Linked DNA regions of Cricetulus griseus. Each later gene encodes a partner of the first gene's protein in a complex. Links are inferred from orthologs where the notes say so. Each region holds a gene or a part of one and is shown in the gene's direction. Other genes may lie near its edges.

Region 1 (4,152 bases):
CTGAGGAATGAAGCAGGGCCTCCTCTTCATCCACGGTAGAGATTCGCTAAGTGCACCCCCTTGTCCCCGCCTGTCTTCTCGATCTCACGGTACCCCAAGGCAAGTGTCCACTCCTCCTTATTACTCTCGATCCCTTCCACCCCTTGCTTCCAGGCCTCAATGAAGGTTCTGTGGTGTTGCCTCCATTCAGGCTCCTTCCTCGTAGTGCGGTACGGTGTTGACCTTAATGTGTGTAAGCGCTGATGACCGCTGGCCCTTCCCTTCCAGGTTTTTTCGGGTTTGGTGTCTGTGGGTGTTCCGTACTGTTGCATCTCTCTTCCTACTGCTTTCCCCGGTCATGCTGGCTTTGATGACCTCAGTTCTAAATGCCGGACTGCTTGCCATGCTCCTGTGACTCGACTCTGGAGAGACACCTTGAAATTAGACCCTCTTGTTCAAAAGTCACATGCTTTTTCTAAACTTGTTCATTCTCCTGCGTTCCATGCCCTAACTGGTTTCATTCCTCAGCCTGAAAGCCGTATCCCTTTGACTGAGGATGTAGCTTTTCATTTTTAAGCATTTAAGTTTTTTTGCACTTGAGATCCTTCTATTCACTAAAGGGCAGACATCACAGGACTAGCCACCTAGAATTCACTTTTAGTTTTCTTACTTTGACTATTAACAAAATAATCAGATAACCATTACTTCAATGAAGGTAGAGAACATTCTATCACTCTTCCAAGGGTACACTCTACCCCAGACAACTACTAATTTCACCCTTCCGGTTTTGCCTTTTTTTGGTTAACATATAAATAGAATTCTCTAGTGTGTAGAGAAAACATAATGCACCGGGCTACGTGCAAACTTAGTTGTGTTTTTAGCCTTTCCCTCCTCTGTCTAACGTCTGGCTGTCCCCTGTGATGCTGTGCTTTCTCCACTCCAGTCTGTACTCAGTGCCTCTTCTGAGTCTCACTTCCCTCCATTCCATTCTCCAGAGAGCCTCTGCTGAAGTCATGTAACTTCCTCCTCAGAAAGTCCCAATGCTTCCTGCCACATTGAGAGAAAGGCTAACTCAGTGAACTGGCATTCTAGATTGTCTAGGGTTTTTATCCCAGCCTGCCATTGCAGCCTGGTCTATGCAGTTTAAAATGCTTCTCGCGGTTCATTTGTTCACTCTACAGGAAATTTGTAAAATGCTATGTATAGGAAGTACTGAGCTAGTTGCAACCAGCATAACTGAATAAAGTTAATGTGTGTTGACCATGAGAATTACAAGCTAGTGAAGGAGAACCAATTTAAGAAAATACATGAAGAATGTCTTGTTGTGAATTATGGTAAAGTGTACATATCATAAACTCTGGTAAATGCACTGAGGAGGAAGTCAAGAAGACCACTTTGAGGAAGGAAGAGGCCTTTTCAGTGAGCTGAGCTCTGACGGACTGACCTAAGCAATGAGGAGGAAAGAATGCAGGTGATGGCCAGCATGTGATAGGCCCTGAGGGGAGACAGAGATAACTTGAGAAATAATGTAGCTGATCATTAAGCTGACCTTGTCTGCTACAGAGAATGTCCCAGGTCTACTTTTTCTCATTGTAAACCCTTCGAAGGCCGGGCGTTAATGGCGCACGCCTTTAATCCCAGCACTCGGGAGGCAGAGGCAGGCGGATCTCTGTGAGTTCGAGGCTAGCCTGGTCTCCAGAGCGAGTGCCAGGATAGGCTCCAAAGCTACACAGAGAAACCCTGTCTCACAAAACAAAACAAACACCTTCCTGATCTTGTGTCTAGTCCATACTAATTTCCGTAGTATGGATTATTTATAAACCTAGTTAATTTTACATTTTGCCTTCCATTAGTCCTTGTGATCTCATCCAGTTGAGTTATTTGAGAGCAGAAGTTATCTGACTGAATTCCCAGTGTGCTCAGGGCATGGATCAATACATTTGTCCATGTAGGAAGCAGGTGGAGGGCGTGGACCCATCTAGATCAGTATCACCCAGCCTCATCACTGTGGCTTTTGGGGCTGGGTAATTCTTGTGCATCCCAGATGTTGGGTGGCATGACTTACGTCCATAGTCCCCACCCAGCCCCCAAGTCATAACAGTTTTTTTTCTCCAAATTTTGCTAAATGCCAAGTAGAATTGTTTGCTGCTGGGAACCACTGCTGCAGACTCCCGACTGGGCTGTATCTTGAAGGCTGGGTGTGTTCTGTTCTGTGTGATGACCACGCCTGAAGCTTTCAGTATTGTGTGTTCCATAGGAGCTTTGGCGGGGGCAGGGGGATAATGGCTTTGGTGTGGTAGACTCTGGTCCTTCCTAATCTTGGGTTTATTCCTGCAGACTGCCACTCTCCGCCCCTACCTTAGTGCCGTGCGGGCCACACTGCAGGCTGCCCTCTGTCTGGAGAACTTCTCCTCCCAGGTCGTGGAACGACACAACAAGCCAGAGGTGGAAGTCAGGTAGGGAAGAGGGTCAGAATGGGGCTGAGGAGAACAACTCACAAGAGCAGACCCTGTCTAAAGGGGCCATGTTGACAGGCCAAAACCCATGGAAGACCTACATAGCCCAAAGTGTGGCCCCTGGAGTAGCGCTGTGGAGAAGTGTCTCCGGTAGCATTACTGAGGCCACTGGCAGCTCCAGAAGAAGGCACAGGCTTTAGTTCCTAGAGTTGACATCTCTGTATTAATGATTTAAGGATCAGGACTTTTTTTTTACTTTTTATCTCATTAATAGTGCCAGACAGTTTAGACCCTCTAACACCCAAATATTCCATGTTTTGAATGCAGTTTTGTCTTGTCTGGCTTTCATTTCATAAGTAAATAAATATTTTTCCTTTTTGAAATTTCACCTGGCAAGGATATGCGAGACTACTGATCCCAGCACATGGAGGCTGAGGCAATAGCAATAGAACCACAGGGTCGGGGATAGCCGTAGCTACAGAACAGGTCTTTTCTCACGAAACCAAAAGAAGCTGGCTGTTGTGGTGCACAGCTTTAATCCCAGCACTCAGGAGGCAGAGGCAGGTGGATCTCTGTGAGTTTGAAGCCAGTCTGGTCTACAGAGTAAGTTCCAGGACAGGCTCCAAAGCAATACAGAGAAACCCTGTCTCAAGAAGAAAAAAAAAAAAAGGAAGCAAAGGGGGGAAAATCTGGGATGAACATAGTTGAAATAAGTTGTGTTACCAAATAGGTAATGAAGGTATTTTTATTGCTGGGGATTGAATCTAGGCCCTTGGGCATGTTAGGCACACAGTCTACAGCTGAGCCATATCCCCAAAATGATTGCTGTGACTCAAACAATTCTAACGTTAGGATGGACTGTGTTGTTACTTGATATACATGGTTTTCAAGTGGTGACCTTTACAGATACCTAGAAAGTCAATGGCATCAGCTTGGTCCTCTGATTTTGTGTTTTTAGGAGTAGCAAAGAACTCCTATTGCAACCTGTTACTATCAGCAGGAATGAGAAGGAAAAGGTTCTGATTGAGGGCTCCATCAATTCTGTCCGGGTCAGCATTGCTGTGAAACAGGTGAGTCACCATGGAGAGGGCACAGTTAGGAGCGCTCTTCACAGCCAGGGATCCCTTCTGAAAGGTCGGTGAGCTAGATTCAGAGCCTGCTTTCAGGAATTTACTTGGCATGATTGGCCAGAGCAGATATGGTTGCACATGCGTGTAATCCTAGCCCATGGAAGTCTGAGACTGAAGATGGAAAACCCAAGACCAGTCTGTCTGGGCTACTTGGTGAGTCCCTATCTGAAAAAACAAACAAAACAAAAACTGGGTCAGTGGAATAAAACTGCAACAACACTATCCCATAGCCCTGGCTCTGGATTACAAACAGGGAAATGCAGCCGGCAAGGACATAGGTGATGGTTGTGTGCACTTAGAGCACTATCAACCAGCACTGGTTTGATAGCCATAGTTTCTGACACTGCCATTTCATTTAAAAACAGATGGTACAACACACATGCACATATGGAATTCTCAGCAACAGCAAAAAAGGAGCAGACCATCCATTCTAGCTTGTCTTTCAGAAACAGCTGTGTAGGCTAGCAGTGGGTGGGATGATAACATCATGAAAGAAAAATGCCAACAAGAACACTGGCAAAACTATCAGAACTGAAGATCTGTTTTAACAGTAATTGCCCAGACAAATGTCATAGTGTTTTCTTTGT
Region 2 (3,650 bases), on another chromosome or scaffold:
GAATATTCTTTCATCTTAAAAAAAAGTTACATTGTCACTCATTTTATCTTGCACAAAAAAAGTTGCTTAGCTATCATTTGATGAATGAATGGTTTTGTTCACAGCAGACATAAAAAGCAAAACCAGGAACCAGCATGTGAAGTTGTTCATCAGTACGACTTTCCCTGTCCTTTAGCTCATACCTACTCACCAGAGGTGTGGTGTATCTTACTCCTTTCACAAGCTTAGAAAGAGGCTAGTGGGAATTGCGGTAGAGTTTAGCTGGTAGAGCACTTGCCTCATGTGCCTGAAACCAGTACTGTGGTTATCTAGACCTATCATCGCAGCACAGGCACTGGGGAGGTAGAGATGGGAAGATGCCCTCAGAGTCCGTCCTCACCCACATAGTGAGAGGTTGAAGGGGTGGGGGTGGGGAAACAGGCTCAAGGAAGAGTCATGCAGTCTTGATTGGAGACAGATAGAGGAAGTGGCAGATTTCAAAACTAGGGCTTGGGTCCTGGCTAGCTGGAGGATGGGAAACCTGTTTTGTGTGGTTTCTTTTGTGGAATGCTCCCACCAGAAGGAAACACATCCTCACATACCACATTTCTAGCCTAAGGATATAATCCCAGGAGGCAGAGGCAAACTGACCACTGTAAACTTGAGGTCTGCTTGGTCTACCTAAGGAGTCCCAGGCCTGACAGGGCTGCTGAGTGAATCCCTGTCTCCAAAAGAGCTGGTGCTGGGGAGAAGGAAGATTCAATTGGCCAAGTGCTTGCCACTCTAACATAAGGACTCCACAACAGTAGCCAGTCATGGCAGCAAACCCTATAAACCTAGTGCTGCAGAGGAAAACAGGAGGGTCTCTGGGTTTGTTTGCTGGCCATGGAGCCAGTAGATGAGCTTCAGTTTCAGTGAGAGCCCCTGTCTCAGATACAAAGGTGGGGACACATTGAGGAAGACACCTGACACTGACTTCTGACCTCTGCACACAAACACATGTATGCCTACACACATGTGCCCCCAGATCCATGAAGACAAACATACAAAATAGTAATAAGATAGAAGAGAATGTTAAGTACATAGGCAGCGGGCTGGAGAGATGACTCAGCTGTTAAGAGCACTGACCGAACTTCCAGAGGGCCCCAGTTGGATTCCCGGAAACCACAAGACAGCTCACACCTGTCTGTAACTCCAGTTCTAGGGGGTCTGACACCTTAACACAGACATGAATGCAGGCAAAAACACCAGTACATGTGAAATAAGATTAAATAAATTGCTTTTTCAAAAAAAGGAAGAAAGGCCGGGCGGTGGTGGCGCACGCCTTTAATCCCAGCACTTGGGAGGCAGAGGCAGGTGGATCTCTGTGAGTTCGAGACCAGCCTGGTCTACAAGAGCTAGTTCCAGGACAGCCTCCAAAGCCACAGGGAAACCCTGTCTCGGAAAAACCAAAAAAAAAAAAAAAAAGGAAGAAAGAAAGAACATAGATAGTAAAGCCAGATGTAGTGGCACAGGCTTAGCACTCAGGAGGCAGAAGCAGGCAGATCTCTGTGAGTTCCAGGACAGTCTGATCTACAGAGTGAGTTCCAGGACAGCCGCAGCTACACAGGGAAACTCTGTCTCAAAAGCAAAGCAACAACAATAAACAAACAAAACACACACACACACACACACACAAAAAAAAAAAAAAAAAAAAAAAAAACAGTAAAGCCTATGGTGGTGCACACATTTAATCTCAGCACTCAGGAGACAGAGACAGGTAGATCTCTATTAATTCTAGGCCAGCCTAGTCTTTGTAACAAGTTCCAGGACATCTGGGGCTACATACATAGCAAGACCCTGTCTTGGAAAGAAAAAAAATAAGGACATAGGCAATGGTAAAATGTAATTTTAAAATGGTGATCTCATTGGTGCTAATTACCTCTTTTGCATATCTGATTTAGTTTGGGGACATGGCTGTGCTAAACAACCAGCTGACAGAATGTCTCAGAATCTGCTGCCTAGTCCCATTGCTGCTGCCACCCCTCTCCTCCCAAAGGTGGTCTTGCTGGGTGTTTTCACCGGGTGACACTGGTTCTCTTTCTCTTTGTTCCCTGGCTTGCCACTTCAGGCTTACCATTCTTCCCTCATGGACCCTGACACGAAGCTCATCGGCAACATGGCGCTGTTGCCCATCAGAAGTCAGTTCAAAGGACCTGCCCCTCGAGAGAGTGAGTCCCTGTGTTCTTTTCCATTTGGGTGCAGAACGTCCAGCCAGCCTCTGACATGAGATGAAGGAAGAGCACAGCAGGGTCACTTTCCCTCTGCTGTGTGTTACACTCTACATCTTGAGACATCACAGTTGCGCTGTCCCTTCACACTCTTTCAGGGTGTGTGGGTGAGCCAGAAGAGGAAATGTGGGCTGGGGGTGCAGCTCTGTAGGTAGAGACCTTGCCTAGCATGCAGCAGGAGAGTGTCGGTTCCGCCCAGTTCACTGTGAGCCAGGTGTTGTAGCGCACACCTGTAATCCTAGCACTTGGGAGGTGGAGGCAGGAAGAGCAGAAGTTCAAAGTCATCCTCAGCTAGTTCCAGGCCAACTTGGGCTACATGAAACCTTGTCTCAAAAAAGGGAAAGAGGAAATGTGTTCAATTCTGGCCGCAGTCCCCACAGTCACTGTCAGTCAGGTTAGACTAACTGAATGCCAGGTCCTCAGCCTTCTTTTGTCATCATACTGGAAAAAGACAAGCAACAAAAAGTATTATATGGGCACGGTGCTGTACCCAGGAGGCTGAGATAGGGGGTAGCTGGAGTCTGGTAGTTCAAGACTAGCCTAAGCAACACAGGGAGACCTATCTCCAAAACAAGAAAAATGAACCCTTGCCCATTACAGCTATTACTGCTCTTGTCAACTTTTAAAAAAGTCGTTTGCTTTAGGCTGTGTACTTGTTTGTATGTGAGGGTCTGCATGTGCCCCAGCACACAGGTGGAGGTGAGATTATAAACCACTTCGGGTTCTGACATCAGTCTTGGGGCTCCCAACTCAGCTTTCTCTGCAAGTGCTTTTACCCTCTGAGCTATCTCCATGGTCCACCCCTTTGTCTGTTTCTTAGTCTTAGGGTCTTTATTTTTCACCAAACCCCAGTGTTAGACCTTTTTTGGGGGATATGTCAGAAGAGGTAGAAACTCTGGTGGGCATGGAAGTGAAACCAAGCTAACCTCAGTTAGTATGACCCTCCGCCTGCTTCCCTAGTGCTGGGGTAACAGGCGTGTGTCCCATGCTTCAATCCTAACTCTTCCCTATGCTTTGAAACCCTGTTCATTTCTATTCTTGCTTTTGTTTTTCTGAATTTTCTTTTTGTACTTCTAGTGTTTTTTGTTGTTTGTTTGTTTGGTTTGTGGTTTTTTTCTTTTCTTTTTTGAGACAGGGTTTCTTTATGCAGCCCTGGCTGGCCTGGAACTCGCTCTGTCTCCCAATGCTGGGATTAAAGATATGTGTCGCTGCCAACACCAGGCCCAGAAGCCCCTTTTCAAACCTGAAGCTTTCTGACATGTTCCGAGATGTTCCGCTCGGTGTTGGTGTCATTTCTGTTGTCTCAGACACAGCACCCCAGAGCCTGCAAATGTCTGGCTCGAATTCCAGACACAGTTTCCAAGACCAGTTACAATTCCCAGCTGTGTCCTCGTCCCTTTG

What was found.
Region 2: Arpc4 (region 1) and Arpc3 share a complex: the UniProt entries of both Homo sapiens proteins name them as parts of the arp2/3 complex. The link is inferred for Cricetulus griseus from reciprocal best matches to the Homo sapiens genes ARPC4 and ARPC3.

The regions. Positions count from the first base shown.
Region 1 is NC_048601.1:31,418,224-31,422,375, reverse strand, and holds the start of Arpc4 (actin-related protein 2/3 complex subunit 4), read left to right. Parts: upstream 1-1,350; 5' UTR 1,351-1,444; coding exon 1,445-1,450; intron 1,451-2,316; coding exon 2,317-2,435; intron 2,436-3,393; coding exon 3,394-3,505; intron 3,506-4,152. UniProt on the Homo sapiens protein: Actin-binding component of the Arp2/3 complex, a multiprotein complex that mediates actin polymerization upon stimulation by nucleation-promoting factor (NPF).
Region 2 is NC_048597.1:102,226,503-102,230,152, forward strand, and holds part of Arpc3 (actin-related protein 2/3 complex subunit 3), read left to right. Parts: intron 1-2,089; coding exon 2,090-2,189; intron 2,190-3,650. UniProt on the Homo sapiens protein: Component of the Arp2/3 complex, a multiprotein complex that mediates actin polymerization upon stimulation by nucleation-promoting factor (NPF).